5 linked regions of the Mus musculus genome follow. The protein of the gene in region 3 interacts with the protein of the main gene of each other region in a biochemical or structural test. Links are inferred from orthologs where the notes say so. Each region holds a gene or a part of one and is shown on either strand. Other genes may lie near its edges.

Region 1 (4,173 bases), on a different chromosome or scaffold from region 3:
CTGCTGCCACACACTGCTGCCTGGCAGGTGGTCTTCCCAGGAAACTGGAAGGAATAGGTGTGTGGGTGGGACTGGGAGCCGAATGCTGGATTTGGGGAGGATGGGGAAGGACTTTCTAGGAGTAATGAGAAGTTTTCCCCAAGAAGGTGAGATGCAAAATTCCTAAATGGAAAGTACCTGCCCTCAGCTTGAGAGTATAACAAGCACAGGGGCCAATGAGAGGACTCAGTGGGAAAAGGCCTGCTACCAAGCCTGATGACTTGAGTTTGATCCCAAGAACCCACATGTAAGGAGAAAGTGGACTCTATCAAGTTATCCTTTGACTGCCACAAGGATACCTCGGCACACATACATAAGAATTAACACACACAAAAAAATTAAGATGTAACTTAAACAAAGAGTATAAGACACACAGGTATATGGGTATAGAAGTTTTAATTTGGGGAGCAGGTTAGGCCATTGTCTCTTTACTGCTGCGACAGAGTTGGAACCCAGTACCTCTTGCACGCTAGAGAAGTACTCTACCACTGAACCACACATCCAGGCCACCCTCACATCTTGGTAGTATGCTACAGGCCTGCAGGTAATGATGGCACAAGGGAGGGGCAAGAGCATGGCTTGCTCACACTTGGGGTTCTAAGGTCTCAATCTGGGGCGTCTGTTTTGGAGAGATGTAAAACTGCAGAGGACTGTATTTTATTTGCTTGGTGGTTGACAGGATCCCCTGTAGCCTGTGCCAGCCTCACACTTACCGTGGCTGACGACTTTGAACTTCTGACCCTCCTGCTTCCCTCTCCCCAGTGCTCAGACTACAGGCCTGCCCCACCATGGCTAGTTTTTAAGCAGTGCTAGAGATGGAGCCCAAGGCAATGCCATACAACTGAACTCCAGCCCATTTGGTTTTTGATATTGTCTCATGTAGTCCAGGCTAGCCTAGAATTTGCCCTATATCGAGGACTGACTCTGAATCCCAGATCCTCCTTCCTCGTCCTCCTCCTAAGACCTGAGTTTACAGGTGTGCTACCATGCTCAGAAAGTAAGGTTATGTGGGAACATTATCTGGGAGGTCCAGAGTTAACTAGGATGCTCTGAACCCTGGAGAGAGACAGATGAAGCTGGAGGGAACGGGCAGGTAGGACAGGACAGGCTTGGTTTTCTGGGTTGGTGAGCTGTCTTTTCTTTCTCTTCCTCCCCTCCCCCCTCTCTTTATCCTACCCGACTCCCGGCCCCATCCCTCCAGACAGGGTTTCTCTGTGTAGCCCTAGCTAGCTGTAGAACTCTCTGTAGACCAGGTTGGCCTTGAACTCACAGGCCTGCCTGCCTCTGCCCCCTGAGAGCTAGGATTAAAAATGTGTGTCATCATCATCTGGCTCCTGGTTTGGTGAATTTTCAAAGATGGCTACAGTTCATATAGGAGCCAAGGTGGGAAGGAGAGGGTCTACTTACTATACTAGAAGGAGCAGAGGTTCTAACAGGAAGTTAGGTGGGTGGGGTTTCCTGGAGTAACAGGAAATAAGAGTCTACAGGAGGTGAGAATAAGGAGAGCCACTGGAACTGAATGATGGGCAAGAGTGGAGATGGAGGTCAAATACAGAGGATAAGGGGGCTCTACAGGTATGTCCCATGTGGGACTCAAGTCTATAACCCAGGGAAAGGGATCCTGGACTGGGGAATCCCAGCTGCAAGCTAAGATTGACAGTTAAATTAAGGGCTCATTTAGTTTGGAAGTTGGGGGGGGAGGGGGTCGTCTCTGGGCCTTTAATAGAAATTCATGCCTAAGATCCTGGGAAATAGATGCCATAGTCAGAAGTTTTGTGGCTCCAGACTCTAAGTAGTGAGGAGAGGCAGAAGGGAGACGTGCAATATGAAGTGGGTGCGTGGCTGGGCTATGAGATCACCTAACAGAACCTGGGGTCCAGACTCTGAGGAAGAACAGAAGGTTCTGCACAGGATAGTGGGGACCCTACACACAAGGGTCAGCTTGGGGATGGGGAGAGGCAAGACTCTGACTAAAGTATTACCAACTGATAAAATGGCTCAGAGTGTAAAGGTGCTTGTGGCAACGTGGGGCGACTGGAGTTCCACAGCCAGTTCCAACATGGTGAAAAGAGAGGCCCAACTTCTACAAGTTATCCTGTGATCACCATAGGCATGCTGTGCCACGTGCACACGGGAACACACACAATAAATAAACTTACAAACAGAAGAGAACCATAGCACAGAGAGAACGCCTGGAGATACAGGTCAAGAATTACGGTGAAGAAGCCAGGAGTCCTGGGATGGAATTAAAAAGTCCGGCCCTGCATGAAGGCACATGTCTCTAATCCCAGTACTGGGAAGGCAGAGGCAGGAGGATCACTGTGAGTTAGAAACCAGCCTGTTCTACACAGCAAGTTCTAGGCCAGGGAAGGTTACACAGTGAAATTTTGTTTCAAAAAAAAAAAAAAAGAAAAAGAAAAGAAAAGAAAGAGAAAAGTCTAGATTGTGGAGCAGGCGGCTCCAGATGTCAATAACTAAGGTCTCCCCCGCCCCCACGCCAGGTGGCCTGGGGAAGAGGTCAGAACTCTAGAGCGGGGGGTCCCGGGAGTGGGGGGGAAGGGGATGAGCGCGCACAGCCCCACCTGGTGCCGCCAGCGGAAGAGGCTGGCAGTGTCTATGTTGGGGTGCGTCTCGTCCTCATCGTCCGACACCTCGATGTGATCCCAAACGCTGTAGTCCACCATCTTCGCTTCGGAGGCCCGGACTGGCTCCCGGGGCTCCACACGGCCGGGCGCTGAACAGGGACCCACAAGGGCTAGAGAGTCCGCTCGGCGAGCCCCGCCCCTTCCGCTTCCGCCCAGGGCGCCGCGCAGGACGGCCCCGCCCCAGCGTCGGCGCGGGACGTTACGTCCTTAGCAACGGGAGTCGGCGGCATTGGCAACCGGAGGTCTTCTTTAAAGGGCCAGGAGTATGTGGTGAGGCCTTCTGGAAGTTCCCGCCGAAACCAGACTGACCATCCTTTAGAAACAAAAGGTTAGTCGCGTTGGGCGTGGTGGCCCACGGTAATCCAAGTACGCTAGAGGCAAAAGCAGGTGGCTCTCCAGGAGTTCTAGTCCAGCCAGGGCTACATATTGACACTGTCAAAAAGTCAAAATTGGCTGGGCGGTAGTGGCGCTATGCCAGTACTCCGGAGGCAGAGGCCGGCGGATCGAGGCCAGCCTAGCCTACAGAGTAATTTTAGGGACGGTCAGGGTTGTTATACAAACAACACTCTAAAAAAAAAAAGTCAACATTGCATACACTAGCAAGATTTTATCGAAAGGACCCAGATGTAGCTGTCTCTTGTGAGACTATGCCGGGGCCTAGCAAACACAGAAGTGGATGCTCACAGCCAGCTAATGGATGGATCACAGGGCTCCCAATAGAGGAGCTAGAGAAAGTACCCAAGGAGCTAAAGGGATCTGCAACCCTATAGGTGGAACAACATTATGAACTAACCAGTACCCCGGAGCTCTTGATTCTAGCTGCATATGTATCAAAAGATGGCCTAGTCGGCCATCACTGGAAAGAGAGGCCCATTGGACACGCAAACTTTATATGCCCCAGTACAGGGGAACGCCAGGGCCAAAAAGGGGGAGTGGGTGGGTAGGGGAGTGGGGGTGGGTGGGTATGGGGGACTTTTGGTATAGCATTGGAAATGTAAATGAGCTAAATACCTAATAAAAAATGGAAAAAAAAAAGTCAAAATTGAGGCTGGAAAGTTGGCTCAATAGTTTGGAGACTGGCTGGTCTTCCAGAGCACCCGGATTCTGTTCCCAACACCTACATGGCCACTCACACCCATCTGTAAGTCCAACCCAGGATATATATATTATGTCCCCATTTGGCCTTTGACTACACCAGGCATGCATGTGGTGGACAGATATACTTGCAGACAAAACATTAATATACAATTTGTTTTTTTTAATCATGTTTGCCCTTAATTCCCACCCCACCCCCACCCCCACCAGAGTCTCACTGTATATAAGACAGCTCTGGCTGTCTTGGAATTCACTATGTAGACCAGGCTGACTTCAAACTAACAGATCTTTCTACCTCTTCTCCCCAGTGCTGGGGCTAAAGGTGTGCCCCACTACACCAGATCTGCCCTTAAATTTTAAAAAATATTTATTTGTTTGTTTGTTTGTTTGTTTG
Region 2 (4,058 bases), on a different chromosome or scaffold from region 3:
CCTCTTTAACCCTGTAGAATGACCATTTTAAAAAGACCAGGTATCTGACCTCTTCAAAATGTGCACAATGGTGCAAACCTGGTCCACACAGAAACCTCATCACAAAAAACAAAAATAAATGAGATGTGTGCACACTATATAGACCTATCTGGCCTTGATCTTATATAATCCCAATATATAATCCTATTGGGTTCACCTATAATCCCAAATAATTAGGAAGTGGAGGGAAAGAGTAGGAGTTCAAGGGGGATCCTCCCACATATTGGGAGGTTAGGCCACCTAGGGCAGCATAGACGCTTTCTCAAAAAACAATCCCTTTAAAGAAGGTAATAGGATCAGGAGTTGTACACCTTTAATCCTAGAACTCAGGGAGGCAGAGGCAGGTGTATCTCCAGCCCAAGTTCCAGGATAGCCAGAGCTACACAGGGAGAACTTGTCTCAAAAAAAAAAAAAAAAAAAAAGCTGGGCGTGGTGGTGCACGCCTTTATTCCCAGCACTCAGGGGGCAGGCGGATTTCTGAGTTCAAGGCCAGCCTGGTCTACACAGAGAAACCCTGTCTCAAAAAACCAAAAAAAAAAAAAAAACCTAAAAATCAAAACAGACAAAAACAAACAAGAGCACCCACACACACAAAGGTTGGAAAGATGGCTCAAGGGTTAAAAGCGCTGGCTGCTCTTCCAGAGGACCCAGGGTTCTAGCCCCAGCACCCACATGGTGATTCACAAACCTCTAGCTCCAGGGTATCCAACATTCTCTTCAGGCCTGGCCTCTAGCAGTGCAGATGATACACAAACATACAGACAAAACATCCACACCACACTGCTCTTGCTTCTACAAGAGCACCCAAGCAGGGTGGCTCACAACTGCCTCTAACTCCAGATTCAGAACTAACACCTCTGCTCTCAGCAGGCAGTTGGTTCTGGTAATAGAACTTGGGTTCTCAGCAAGGGTAGCCAGTGCTGTTAATCACTGCGCAGTCTCTCTACCTCCTAAATTGCTACTTCTGGATGAAAAGATGTTTCGTTTGGCTATGTTTATCTACTAAATTGATTATGTTTTACCTAGCAATTCATTTTCCCCGTACAGTTTGGAAAATATCAAAAAGTTTTTACATAAACTTGTCCTAAGAAGCCAACATGACATCAGAATACAGGTCAGTCACACACAAGAGCTTTTTCTTAACATCTCAAAGGTAAAATTTAAATCCATGCTGGTGAGATGGCTAAGCAAGTGAAGGCTCTCCGTTTCTCTACCTGACAACTTAAATTGTTTCCCCACAGACTGTCCTCTTACCTCCAGGAACACGAGGGGGTGGGGGGAGGGCACACACATGAATAAAATTACTATAATGAAACACTAAAATGTAAAACCTGCTACATATCTTTGTTTTTATGGGGGACTCCTCCAAATTTCTTTACACATTTTCTAGTACTACATGGTCTTCTTCTAGGACCTGTTTCTCAGCCACTAATTGGCTCTAGGACATCGTCTATCAATTTAGATTTTTAGCCATTCAAGCAAGCAGTTAAAACTTAAACTTGTACAATCGTTAAACTTTTTTTTTCAACTACAATCCGTAACTTTTAGTGCTGTGCATAGCAGCCACCCACACCACCCTCAAGTACTGTAATTCAATTCTCTCATATTTGAAAGTTGTCCAGGCTAGAAAAATAAGGGCAAAAATTCTTAGATTAAAAGAATCTGTAACCTCCATATAAACAAATTAAGACCTTCAGGCAAGTGAGATGGTCATTTTATACCTGTTTCACCTCCGCATACAAAGAGCATGACGAAATGCCACCCAAAGTTTATTGAGGTACAGAGAAGAAAAGAGTCCACAAGTATCTTGTGACTAGACACGTGCAGAACTACCTGCTCCATAGTAACTATTACTCGCTGCCAAGGAGGTGACCGCATTTGCTAGCGTTCACCATTTTCAAGAGACCCGAGATGTGGGAACGGGAAGTTTCGTTGTGGTGACGGCATGGCCCCCTCTAGTTGCCTAGCAGTGCCTGCCGCCGAGGGCCGCGTGGTGCCCTACCGGTAGCACCGGCTTACGGCGGCACCCACAAATGCTCTCAGCCCGGTCCTGCCGGGTCCGGGCATCAGCACCGAGCGGCAGGACTCCACGGCTCCCGGCGCCCTCATGGCGGAAAGCTCACACACGAGTTTAGGGCCTAAGGCTAAGTTCCCAGAGTTCCGAGAGAGCCAGGCTGTCTAGGGAAGAAAAGTGGGATTTCTGGCACGAGGAATCCGGGGGTCGATCTGGAGGTGGGGAAACGGACATCTGGAGGAAAAATGTCCTCCAACGGTAACAGGAACAAGGATGCAGGCCCTCCCACCCCACGGCAGGGCTGCCACCAGCGCGGGCGGGGAGAAAGGCGAAGGGCCGAGGGTGGGGGGAGGGCGAGGGGCCGTTTCCCGGCAGCCGGGGCTCCCGGCGCGGCCTCGCTCCGCTCCGGGACGACCTTCCGTCGGCGGGATGTCGCACTCACATGGTGAACGGGGCAGAGGGCCAGACAAACGGGTGGGCGGGCCTCGCTGGCGGCGGCTGGCGAGTCGACTCCTCTCCGGCGGCGACTCCGGCGGTCTCTGCCCGGTCGCGGCCTCTCCTCGCTCCTCTTAGGCGACGGCGGCGGCGGGCTCGGCCTCGATGCCCAGAATGCACCGCGCGGAGAGCGGCTCCCTCAACCCGGGAGAGAAGGAAAGTGTAGGAAAAGGGGCGCGAGGACGGAGAAGGAGCGTGCGTGCGCGCGAGGGGTGGCGAGGCCGGGCGGCGGCTGGTGACGCAGCAAAATGCCCGGGCCGGCCGCCGCGCGTGCGCAATCGCCGTTTCCAGGCTCTGCGCGGTTTTCTAGAGATCTCTACGGAAGGGGCGGGGCCTCCCGGCTCCTTCGCGATCCTTCCCGCGCCCGCCCCTCCCCTCGACCCTCCGGCTGCCCCGTTCGCGCCTGTCTTCCCGGGCTCCGGTCTCGCGTTAGCAAGCCGTTGGCCGCCAACCGCCTGAGCACGCTCGCGGGCGATCTCCCCGAGAGACGTAGGGGCCGCCCTGGAAGGCGGTGGGACGCTGCGGCGTATACAGCAGACCCCAAGGCGATGTGTGGGGATTGTTTTGTCTTAGACAGGGGTGCCTGCCGCAAACCCAGGTTGGCCTCGAGTTCAGTCGCCCGAGTCCGGGATTGCAGTCCTGTGCCAAAGCCACCACGCCCGGCAACGCCGGTTGCATCCGTGGAAAAACGGCTTCGTCCTTAAAGCCTGGACCACTCGCTGTTTTTCTGATTGTCCGGATCCCGCCTGGGCTCCTTTAGCGGAGGAGCTGCTTTTGCCTCTTTGCCTTTAGGGGCGCGCCTCTCCCCCCTGCTTGGAGACATTGGCGCCCTGGGGGAGGCGAGGAGGGAAGTTTCTAGATTAATTCGCTGTCTCCTTGCGTGAGTTCAGATGAGGTGGTTAAGGATCTATTTGAAAATCCTTTGACTGGTTTTGTATACAATGCCCTGGGTTAAATGGGGTTAGTAGCCAAGAACAATCTCTGCTTATCAAAAACTGACGGATTAGGGCAGAGGTAGACCAATGAGCCACTATTAGGACATCAGGTTTTTAGAGTAATCCTGCTTCAGTCTCTTATGTGCTGGTATTACAGGCTTTTTTCTTTTGATATTGATGTCAGTGCAGACTAATTGGTGATGTTGGCTGTATAGTCCAGATCCAATTGCCTGATGTTAAGAACTTTACCACCTGTCAGGGAAATGAAAATTAGTCTGGTGTAGTGTCACAGGCTTGTAATCTCAGCTGAAGGAGCTGGGACAACTTGGTAGTGTGGGCAACTTCCCTGTTTCAAATTTCCATTTTTTCCCGAGGTGATGTAAGTATTCTGTCAACAATTATGTATGTGTACCGTGTGTGTGCCTGATTCCCACACAGAGGTCAAAAATAGGGCCTGAGATCCTTTGAAACTAGATCATGTGAACCATGTAGGTTCTGGGAATAGAACCTATGTCTTTAAGAGCACCCAGTGTTCTGACTGCTGAACCATTAACTCCAGTTCCCTCAAAATTCGA
Region 3 (2,860 bases):
CACCACCTACAATGAGCTCATCAACTTATTAATGTCTTATAGGGCCGCCTACAACCCAATCTTTTTTTTGGTTTGGTTTCTCCTTATGGCCCTGGCTGGCCTAGAACTCAGAAATCCGCCTGCCGGGATTAAAGGCGTGCACCACCACCGCCCGGCTTTGGTTAGTGCTCTTTACCTGCCCCCTATAGTAAATACCCACTATTTTTCCTTATAGCCTCCAAGACAGGATTTCATGGAACTCAGGCTGGCCTCAAACTACCCAGCCAAGTCTTCAAACATGCCTTTATCTAAGAGGTGCTAGGACAAAATCCCAGAACCCCACAGACCAGCTGTTTTATATTCCCACTCTAGCAAGAAGGTCTGAGTGTGCTGGGGAAGAGAGGATGTCCACATATAGGACACACAAGATTAAGTCTCTGGACCAGTGTAATTTTTATGGATCAAATGTGTGTGTGTGTGTGGGGGTGCGCAAAGAAAAGACACATTCCACACTTCTTTTTATCTCCTCTGTATTTATCTTTTAAAGCAGAATGTGATTGGGCACTGTTATTTCCATTCACAAGCCTTGCTGAGTTACAAGACCTAGGAAACTTAGGGTTGTTCTCGGGACTTTGGAAAACAAGCCACTTGGGGAATTCCTGTCAGGTTGTTTTAACTTGTGTTTACTTCTAAGACTAATACATGCAGAATTAACTACAGGAAATGAAAATTTTAAGATGTAATTTAAGCCATCTTAATTTGGTCTCCTAAGGAATCCAGCTCAACAGCTAAACACTTCAGACCAGAGCAAACATGAACAGTAGGTTACGTTACGTCTTATAACAAACGCTCTATCAACCTCTTGAGTTAAACCTATAGTATCACAGTATCACATGTAGAAATTTTATCTTCCCCTTAGTTTTCATGCCACACAGATGTTTTAAATGTTAACAAAAATAAACAAAAATCATGGAAAATATATTATCAGAAGGAATGAAGGTAAGCAAACACATAGTTCTGGTGACTTAGTCTACTTCTTCCATGCGTGATGTGTCGTCATCTCCTTCCAGGGGAGGCATTTCTTCAGTTACAGCAGCACTGGTGTCATCCACAGTAGGATCATCCTCATCAATACCTTGTTTTGGAAATAAATGTTACAGTTAATGTCCGCTAAGGGAGGCGGAGACTTGCTTTAGACATTAACACCCCATCCAATCCCCTGAAAGGAAACTTTATTCATAGGGGGCAAGCCAAGTATGTGCCTATAAACCCCAGCACTGGGACAGAGGCAGAACCAGCCCAAAGCCATCCTCAAACACAAAGGTCACTGTTCATTTCATTCAAACCCTTTAGCTGAGGCTTCCATAACAGCAATAATCCAATTGTTTCAATAGCTACAAAAGTCAACTTCGTTTTTTTGTTTTTAAAGCCAGGGTTAGTATATATAGCTTTGGTTTTCCTGGAACTCTGTAGGCCACACTGGCCTAAAACTCAAAGGGCCTATCTGTCCCTTTACACCCTGACCCCAGCACTAGGATTAAAGGGGAGTTGCAACAGGTTTCTTTCCCTTATGTTAGTTACAGGTAGCCTGTAATTTACCTAGACCAAGCTTGATCATCCTGTAGATCCTGTTAGCATGGGTCTGGGGATCTTCCAGACTGAAGCCAGAAGATAGGAGTGCAGTTTCATACAGCAAGATGACCAGATCCTTCACAGATTTGTCATTCTTGTCAGCCTCTGCCTTTTGCCTTAAGGTTTCAATAATGGAGTGATCAGGATTTATCTCCAGGTGTTTCTTTGCTGCCATGTAACCCATTGTTGAGTTGTCTCTGAGGGCTTGAGCTTTCATGATTCTCTCCATGTTTGCTGTCCACCCATATGTGCTTGTGACAATACAGCACGGGGATGTCACCAGTCGGTTTGACACAACCACCTAAAATTAAAACAAAAACTAAGTGATGGCTTAGGCCATAGAAGAACTTACCAGAAAGAAATGATTATTTGAAACTGTAGGCATTAGCAGTGATTTAGTCAAAACTCAGATAAAAGGACCAAACTGACTACGAGTGATGTGTAACCATTCACATACCTTTTCAACCTTCTTCTCCAAAATATCTTTCATAATTTTGCAGAGGTTCTCAAATTTTGTCTTTTTCTCTTCCTGTTTCTTCTTTTCCTCTTCATCTTCTGGAAGTTCCAGTCCTTCTTTGGTAACAGACACCAAGGTCTTGCCCTCAAATTCCTTCAGCTGTTGCACACAATACTCATCAATGGGCTCAATCATATAAATTACTTCTAAGCCATGCTTTCGGAGACGTTCCACAAAGGCGGAGTTAGCAACCTGGTCCTTGGTCTCACCTGAGACAATATATATATTTATATTGTTAAGTTACTTTTAGAAATGGTTTCATGTATTCAGCTTTCCCTTAGGTACAGGCTGGACATTCTTGCCTCCTTAAGTGCTGTCCAACAGGTAGAGAAAACACCTGTTTACTTGACCATTACCTGTGATAAAATAGATGTGCTTCTGGTTTTCCTTCATTCTGGTACAGTAGTCCTTCAGAGAAACCATCTCGTCCCCAGAAGCAGATGTGTAGTACCGCAACAGCTCTGAAAGCTTCTTCCGATTCTGAGAGTCCTCGTGAATTCCAAGCTGAAGCACAAGCACAGGAAAGCCATTTATGAAGCATTAGCCTTTAATCCCCACACTTGGGAGGCAGAAGCAAGTGTGTGAGGACCCCTCCCCCAATCAAGTTAGTTTGGAAAACTGCCAGTAACAAGAAAATGTACCACCAACCTTTATATTTTTTGAGAACTGCTCATAAAACTTTTTGTAGTTCTCTTTATCTTCTGCTAGTTCAGTAAATAGTTCTAAGCATTT
Region 4 (3,500 bases), on a different chromosome or scaffold from region 3:
CCTTCCCAGGCTTCTGCATGTGTGGCCATGTTTGTGAGGTTGTAGTTGTTTGTGTTTTGTTCTTTTAAACATTTTTATGAGTGTTGTGTCTGCTTGTCTGCATGTATGTGTGTGTAGTATGTTATGTGCCAGGTGTCAGGTTAAGGGTGTTGAACCGCATGGAACTTGAGTTATAGACAGTTACAAGCTGCCACGTATTTGCTGAGAATGGAACCCAGATCTTTTGGAAGAATAGTCGGTGCTTGTAATACTGAGCCATTTTTCCAGTTCCACTTATGTATTCTTTTTTTCCTTTTCTTTTTTTCTTTTTCTTTTTTTCTTTTTTTTTGAGACAGAGTTTCTCTGTGCAGCCCTGGCTGTCCTTGACTCACTTTGTAGACCAGGCTGGCCTTGAACTCAGAAATCCGCCTGCCTCTGCCTCCCAAGTGCTGCACTTATGTATTTTTTTCTTCTCTGGATAAGGCGTTTGCTAGTAATCCCAGGGGTAGAGGCCCTCCGTTCCTTATGGAGGGTCAGTGAGGTTGATGCCTGCTCAGGCTTTGTCTCAGGTTCTCTAAAGTGCTTTCTGCCCCAGGGCAAGCATATTCCTCTTTTAGTCCACATATCATGTCCTGCCCCATCTCAGTAGACTCCAGTGCAGGACTAAGCCCTCCGTGGTGCCGTGAAGCAGAGCTGGAGAAAGGTCGCACCACATGCCATATGTGTGTCCTTTCTCCCCAGGTAATTAAGAACCGTTTCCACCGTGTTTTCTTGCCCTCCCACTCACTGGACGCTGTGTCCCCCACGGACGTGCTCCTCTGCTTTGAGCTGCTCTCCCCAGAACTGGCTAAGGAGCGGGTAGTAGTGCTGGAGGTGCAGCAGGTGAGTGGGGCCAGCCTGATGCCACAGGGCCCTGGTGGGGGCAGTCACTGCTGCCTGCCCTTGCTGAGCCAGATGACCCACCCTAGCGCCCCCAGGTACCCAGCATCCCTATCTCCAAGTGCGCAGCCTGCCAGCGGAAGCAGCAATCAGAAGAAGAAAAGCTGAAGCGCTGTACCCGTTGCTACCGTGTGGGCTACTGCAACCAGTGAGGAGCCCCATGGCTCTCCCCTCCTATTTTCTCTACCTGCCTTTTGCTTTCCTGTCCTTCTCAAGCCCTCCACCCACTTCTCTGTTTTATTGGGCCTTGGGGGAGGCAGGGCTGGCATACCTAGTCCCCAAGGGCATCAGACAAGTCCCTGATAATATAGTTACAGCACTCAGGGCTAACCTTTTCTTTCCCTCCAGGTTCTGCCAGAAAACCCATTGGCCTGACCACAAAGGCCTCTGCCGCCCTGAGAACATTGGCTACCCCTTCCTGGTCAGTGTGCCTGCTTCACGCCTCACTTATGCCCGTCTTGCTCAGCTACTAGAAGGTTATGCCCGGTAAGAGCCCAGAGGCTGGACTGGTATACACAGGGAGCAGGTGTTCCAAGTGTGACACCAGTGGGTCAGAGTTCTTACTTGCCTTGCTGTCTGCTGCCAGGTACTCTGTGAGTGTATTCCAACCGCCCTTCCAGCCTGGCCGCATGGCTTTGGAATCGCAGAGCCCTGGCTGTACCACGTTGCTTTCAACCAGCTCTCTGGAGGCTGGGGACAGTGAAAGAGAACCCATTCAGCCTTCTGAGCTCCAGCTGGTGACCCCTGTGGCTGAAGGGGATACAGGGGCTCACCGAGTATGGCCGCCTGCTGATAGGGGTCCTGTGCCTAGCACCAGTGGACTCTCTTCTGAGATGCTGGCCAGTGGGCCTATCGAAGGTTGTCCCTTGCTTGCTGGTGAGAGGGTATCTCGGCCTGAAGGTAGGATCTGCTAAAATGCTTTGGGTACTGCACTGAAGTGTTGGGAAGGCTGTTCCCACCAGAGTGGACAGGTGAGCACTGATGAGTGTGCTTTGTCTTAGCTGCTGTGCCTGGGTACCAACACTCAAGTGAATCTGTGAATACCCACACGCCCCAGTTCTTCATCTATAAAATTGATGCATCAAACCGTGAGCAGCGGCTGGAGGACAAAGGTGCCTGATGCTGTGGGTGGGAGTCATAGGGTAGCTTGTACCACCTGCTCTGCGCAGCTATGTGACCATGGTCCCTGCTTCTCTCTAGGGGAGACACCATTGGAGCTAGGTGATGACTGTAGCCTGGCTCTGGTGTGGCGGAACAATGAACGCCTGCAGGAGTTTGTGTTGGTAGCCTCCAAGGAGCTGGAATGTGCTGAAGATCCAGGCTCTGCTGGTGAGGCTGCCCGTGCTGGCCACTTCACCCTGGACCAGTGCCTCAACCTCTTTACACGGCCTGAAGTGCTGGCACCTGAGGAGGCCTGGTGAGGATTGGGCAGCAAGCAGGTAGTTGACCATGGTGGAGGGAAACTTGCTGCTTCTGACTCCTCCTCTGTCGCTCACAGGTACTGCCCACAGTGCAAACAGCATCGTGAGGCCTCCAAACAGCTGCTGTTGTGGCGCCTACCGAACGTGCTGATTGTGCAGCTCAAGCGCTTCTCCTTTCGTAGTTTCATTTGGCGAGACAAGATCAATGACTTGGTGGAGTTTCCTGTTCGGTGAGCAATGAGTGAGGCCTGCTGACTGTGGACAGGGCACAGGTATCGGGGCAGCCTGGGCTCCCGCCAACTAACTGCCTCACCCTTCTCTGACTGGGACTACAGGAACCTGGACTTGAGCAAGTTCTGTATCGGTCAGAAAGAGGAGCAGCTGCCTAGCTATGACCTGTATGCTGTCATCAACCACTACGGAGGCATGATCGGTGGCCACTATACTGCTTGTGCACGGCTGCCCAATGATCGCAGTAGCCAGCGCAGTGACGTGGGTGAGGGCACACACAGCCAGCAGGATAGGTGGTAGGGTGGTGGTCCAGGCCGTGTTCATACTCTTCCCACCCTGCTCTAGGCTGGCGCTTGTTTGATGACAGCACGGTGACAACAGTAGACGAAAGCCAGGTCGTGACGCGCTATGCCTATGTTCTCTTCTACCGTCGTCGGAACTCTCCTGTGGAGAGACCCCCCAGGGCAAGTCACTCTGAACACCACCCAGACCTAGGCCCTGCAGCTGAGGCTGCTGCCAGCCAGGTGAGGCATTGGGGAGGCCTAACAGGTTAGTTGGGGGACAGAGTTGGGGCCTTCAGGTCTACAGAATTTATAGACTGGGTTCTTCGACATTCAGGTCTCACCCAGAGACATCCTGGAAGATAGCCTAGGGACACAGTCAAAGGTGTACATATATATAAACACGATGCCACCAGTGTGCACAAAAGAATAGGTCAAAGACTTACCCTGAGCACACCAGGCACCGTGCTTTATACAGACTTAACCCTGTTGTCCCCTGGCTCTCCCTCATAGTCTCCATATGCTGGCCTCGAGCCCATCGTTTGTGGTCACCCTCCTGTTCTGATGTGTATTTGAGATATTCCCTATCAGAGATGGCTGCTGCCTGGATTGGCTGTCACACTCTCTGTGGTGAACAAATGTCCCTACT
Region 5 (3,999 bases), about 75 Mb from region 3:
AGTTCCACAGTGGCTGGACCAGTTTACAACCACCCACAGTGATGCGGGTTCTTCTTCCTCCACAGCCTGGGCACCATTTGTTGTTCTTAGTTTTCTCGCTATCCTTTTCCTTGCTGTTGTGTATCCTCTCTTCTGATCTCTTTCTCAAATCTATAAAACACATCAGACTTCATCTCTATCTCTTCATGTCCAGCATCACCTACCTGACTCCCAAAATTCACTTCTCTGCCTCTATTCTTTGGTGGTTAACAGCGACCTTCCCTCTTCCTTTATCATCTCTGCTGTCTCTTTTCTCTCATCCCCATGGCTGTGCCATTGGTCTTGCAGCTGGTCGATTTCATCAATTTCCCAGCGATTCTCTCTTCCATCTGTTTTGTTCCTGAGTAACAGAATTTCCACCTTTTCCCACAGTGACTTTCCCAAGAAAGATGGAACATCATCTTCCAAATTACGCCTTTAAAAGCTCTCTGTTGTCTGCAGAATGAGACCCAATTTCTTCATTAAATCTTTATGATTTGTTCCTAGATTATCTTTTTTTTTTTTTTTCTTTTTCCTCCCATCAGCTCTACCGTACTACTAACAGAAACTCAGGTCTCTGGTCATAGTCTCAGTACCTACCCTCCAATTTCTCATGCTCTCAGCACTCCTGTGCTTCTTTCCTTCTCATCTTCCTGAAGTCTGATGGAGGAAACGATGTTTTATTGTCTTCTGTAGACATAAAATAAATGTGGGAGGGAAAAGGATTATAAAACTCGTAGCCTTCAAGACAACTAACTTTGCAGGGCATTTTTGAAGTTTTCCCCTTAGAATGCTCTCCAGTCGCAGTTATTTATCTACCAGCTCAATGTAAAATCTTTGTCAAAAATTAGATGACTCAACTCTAGGATGAGCTAAGCTCTTTGCCTGGTAAATCTTGATGTCTGGGTTACAAGGAATTTGCCTAGGCATAATGTGGCCTCACACCCCTTTTGAGGCTGGAAAACAGGTACTGGGCGAACACCACCCCACCCCCAGAACCTCGGACTGCAAGAAGTGTTGGGAGTCACTACGTCCTGCGTCATCACGTGCTGCGAAGAGGGTGGGGCCCTCCTGGGAACCGTGAGGGGCGGGGCCGAGCAGGTGGGGCGGGGCTGGAGCCCGGGGCGGAGCTGCGCGGGGTCGCGGCTGCGGAGGAGCGGGCTCGCGGCGGGCGGCAGCGTGTGTGTGCGCTCCCTTTGACGCTCGGTGCCCCACGCGTGTCCCGGAGAGGCTCAGCCCGGAGCGACCCGGAGGACGAACTGGTGGACGGACTCGGGGGTGGCTGCCAGGCAGGGTTGTGAGCGACGCCGCGGCACAGCGCGGGAGCCGGGAAGCCCTAGAGCACTGCGGCCCCTCCTGACCCTCGGGACCGGGCGCGGCTAGCGTGCGGGTTTCTCCTCCGCGGCCAGCTCGGGCAGCCCGAGTCTCCTCTGTCGCCCGCACCTGCGCGTCGCGGTCGTCCCGCCCTCGGCGGCGGCTCACCTGGGCGCAGCGCGGGCAGGGCGCCGCCTCCGGGACGCAGGTGGAGCGGGCAGGGCGCGGGCACCATGAGCAGCGGCGCCAACATCACCTATGCCAGCCGCAAGCGGCGCAAGCCGGTGCAGAAAACGTGAGTGACGGCGGGCAGGCGCGCTCCGAGGGTGCGGGAGGTCCCCACGCGTGCCGCCATCCAGGAGCTGAGTCTCAACCAATGCGTTAAAAAAAAAAAAATCCTGCTTTCAGGCACCTGCACCTTTACTGCTCAGCGACCTTCCCTGGCTGGTTCGTTGACAGCTCTGACCTACCTAGTGCCGCTCTAGCTTAGTTAGTTAAGCTTGCCTGGAAATCCTCCACTCTAGATCTCCGCTGCCGTGAGCTTTAGGGGACACGGAGGATAAGTAGACAGCTCACTGAGGTGAGATGTTGGGCAGAGCTAAACACGTGTTGTCTTGAAGGAGGGGACCTGTGCCTTTGAAGGAATGTCTTTCTGTTCTTAGCGCCTAGCTTTCTGTTTTGCTCTCTCATTTACTTCCTAGGCAGCAGTTCTGCAGGGCTCGGTGTAGGCGCAGAATTGATAGCAGGTTGGAGTGTGCAGTGGACAGGTGCCCTGGCAGCTTGGTGGCATTCTTAGCCACTCTTTGGTGCAGTTTTCTTCCTCCTTTTGGAGTGCTTTTGGGTCTGTAAAATTTTAAATCATTAAGAAGAGGAAAAAGAACTAGACTGACTTCTAAGTTATTTCTACTCTCTACCTGTAGTTCATTTCCCCTTGCTTTTTTTTTTTTTTTTTTTTTTTTTTTTTTTTTTTTTTTGCCAATTCTGACAGAGATTACAGGCTTTGGTCTTTATTTCCATGGGCTATTTGTATGAGATGGGAGATTTTTTTTCCCCCCTCAGAAAAGAGATTCATGATTGAGACAGGGTTCCATTTAGGAGTTGTCTGTATTGATGCATTCATTCATAATTACCTTGGAGTTTCCACATCTCACCATTTGTTATTTTTTTAAAAAAATAAATTATTTTAGGAACACTTTCAGGCAATCAGTAGTGTGTGTTTTGCTTGAAACATGACAGCTATCACCAAGTGAACCAAAAAAAGAAAACAAAAACAACAAAAAAACCAACTTAAGATTTATACACTGTTTACAAATAGTTACTAGCTTAGAAGTTGGGTTATTTGTGGATTTTAATTCCCCTTAAGAATTTCAACTGTCCTAGTTCCTCAAATCTTGACTTACAAATTAATATTGAGAGGAGATGTCCATGTGTAAATAGTTTGATCAGAATTTGGAAGTTTTATGGTTGGTACACTTTAAAGGACGCAAATGTCGTTGACTCAGCAGTTTTCTACCCCGGCAGTTCTTTGGACCCTGGCTTTCAGTGCTTTAGTATTTTGTAGGACGGTTTCTTTTTGTTAAAACATGTTTGCTCAATTTGACTTTGTTCCTGGCAGTTACAGTTTCCGAGGCTTTCAAGTGCTTGTTCCCTGTTTTCATTAATAGTAATACTAACTCAGTATGAGATGAAAAATCTCAGGTATTATGTACATGGGCATAAAACTTGGAGCTCCGCTTGAGTGTCTAAGTCTAAGTAACTGATTTTCCTTATGTTATTTAAGGACATAAACTGCTTTCTATACAAAGGTCACCATCTTAAATGTTATTCATTATAACGGCGAGTGCTCTTAGTTTCTAGTTAATATAGAGAGCTTCCTTTTTAACACGACAACACTTCCTTTTAGATTAAGTTACACCTTTTATTATATTGTCTCACTATTTGCATTTGATAATTTCGGACAACTAAACTGTTGTCCCCACGAACTTATATTTTATTTTATTTGGTCCTTGACTTCTGTTTATCAGATCTGTACTGAACACCTTTAATCAACTCTGAGCCTTCAAATGCCTTAAAGGTCACCAGCTTGCTTTGTCGAAGACTTTAGTGCTGGCACTTAGGTCCTTTAGTGAAAGTACTTACGTTGTCCCCCCTGAACAGAAAATAGTGAGCTGTATAATCACATAATCAAAGTTCACCCTTAACAACCAGGTCACCAAGCTTTAGTATGAGTCTTTAAGTTAAACTACTTAGCCTGTGTGCAATGAGGCCCCAAATACCTCAATTTCAGGAAAAAACACAAGTGTTGACTGTGCTTTCTAATTTAATTAACTTGTACCCTTTAAGGTATAGCTGTTTTATACGGAGCATACCCATTGTAATTCTAGTGTCGAAAAATGTCATATTTAAATATACAGTTCCGTGAAAATTTGGAGTAAAGTGGGTGACATGATTTTAACCCGAAGTTCTTTCAGTCTTCAAATGAGGATCTAGATGCAAAATAAGCCCCCTCTAGTGGCCGGTCCCACCATGACAGTTATCTGTAGAAGGAAATCAGTTTGAAATGTGTTCAATTCCATCCAAGGACAGTGTTTTGTATACACTACACTGTGAATAGCTGTTTCCTCCTTCTTCAGTGCAATGAAAGTTAGGAAATTAAGAGATCCTAAG

The links. The genes of interacting proteins can lie anywhere in the genome.
Region 1: the proteins of Hsp90aa1 (region 3) and Cdc37 form a complex in vitro, tested with the Homo sapiens proteins (3 studies listed by BioGRID, with this or other methods). The link is inferred for Mus musculus from reciprocal best matches to the Homo sapiens genes HSP90AA1 and CDC37.
Region 2: the proteins of Hsp90aa1 (region 3) and Ptges3 form a complex in vitro, tested with the Homo sapiens proteins (10 studies listed by BioGRID). The link is inferred for Mus musculus from reciprocal best matches to the Homo sapiens genes HSP90AA1 and PTGES3.
Region 4: the proteins of Hsp90aa1 (region 3) and Usp19 form a complex in vitro, tested with the Homo sapiens proteins (3 studies listed by BioGRID). The link is inferred for Mus musculus from reciprocal best matches to the Homo sapiens genes HSP90AA1 and USP19.
Region 5: the proteins of Hsp90aa1 (region 3) and Ahr form a complex in vitro, tested with the Homo sapiens proteins (2 studies listed by BioGRID). The link is inferred for Mus musculus from reciprocal best matches to the Homo sapiens genes HSP90AA1 and AHR.

Annotation. Positions count from the first base shown.
Region 1 is NC_000075.6:21,147,135-21,151,307, forward strand, and holds the start of Cdc37 (hsp90 co-chaperone Cdc37), read right to left. Parts: upstream 2,801-4,173; 5' UTR 2,724-2,800; coding exon 2,622-2,723; intron 1-2,621. UniProt on the Homo sapiens protein: Co-chaperone that binds to numerous kinases and promotes their interaction with the Hsp90 complex, resulting in stabilization and promotion of their activity. Inhibits HSP90AA1 ATPase activity.
Region 2 is NC_000076.6:128,057,724-128,061,781, reverse strand, and holds the start of Ptges3 (prostaglandin E synthase 3), read right to left. Parts: upstream 2,801-4,058; 5' UTR 2,498-2,800; coding exon 2,496-2,497; intron 1-2,495. UniProt on the Homo sapiens protein: Cytosolic prostaglandin synthase that catalyzes the oxidoreduction of prostaglandin endoperoxide H2 (PGH2) to prostaglandin E2 (PGE2).
Region 3 is NC_000078.6:110,690,536-110,693,395, forward strand, and holds the end of Hsp90aa1 (heat shock protein HSP 90-alpha), read right to left. Parts: coding exon 2,777-2,860; intron 2,633-2,776; coding exon 2,485-2,632; intron 2,338-2,484; coding exon 2,069-2,337; intron 1,913-2,068; coding exon 1,579-1,912; intron 1,115-1,578; coding exon 1,005-1,114; 3' UTR 501-1,004; downstream 1-500. UniProt on the Homo sapiens protein: Molecular chaperone that promotes the maturation, structural maintenance and proper regulation of specific target proteins involved for instance in cell cycle control and signal transduction.
Region 4 is NC_000075.6:108,497,176-108,500,675, forward strand, and holds part of Usp19 (ubiquitin carboxyl-terminal hydrolase 19), read left to right. Parts: intron 1-720; coding exon 721-861; intron 862-947; coding exon 948-1,066; intron 1,067-1,266; coding exon 1,267-1,404; intron 1,405-1,504; coding exon 1,505-1,818; intron 1,819-1,919; coding exon 1,920-2,030; intron 2,031-2,118; coding exon 2,119-2,335; intron 2,336-2,416; coding exon 2,417-2,569; intron 2,570-2,674; coding exon 2,675-2,835; intron 2,836-2,915; coding exon 2,916-3,094; intron 3,095-3,500. UniProt on the Homo sapiens protein: Deubiquitinating enzyme that regulates the degradation of various proteins by removing ubiquitin moieties, thereby preventing their proteasomal degradation. Stabilizes RNF123, which promotes CDKN1B degradation and contributes to cell proliferation.
Region 5 is NC_000078.6:35,532,190-35,536,188, reverse strand, and holds the start of Ahr (aryl hydrocarbon receptor), read left to right. Parts: upstream 1-1,199; 5' UTR 1,200-1,565; coding exon 1,566-1,627; intron 1,628-3,999. UniProt on the Homo sapiens protein: Ligand-activated transcription factor that enables cells to adapt to changing conditions by sensing compounds from the environment, diet, microbiome and cellular metabolism, and which plays important roles in development, immunity and cancer.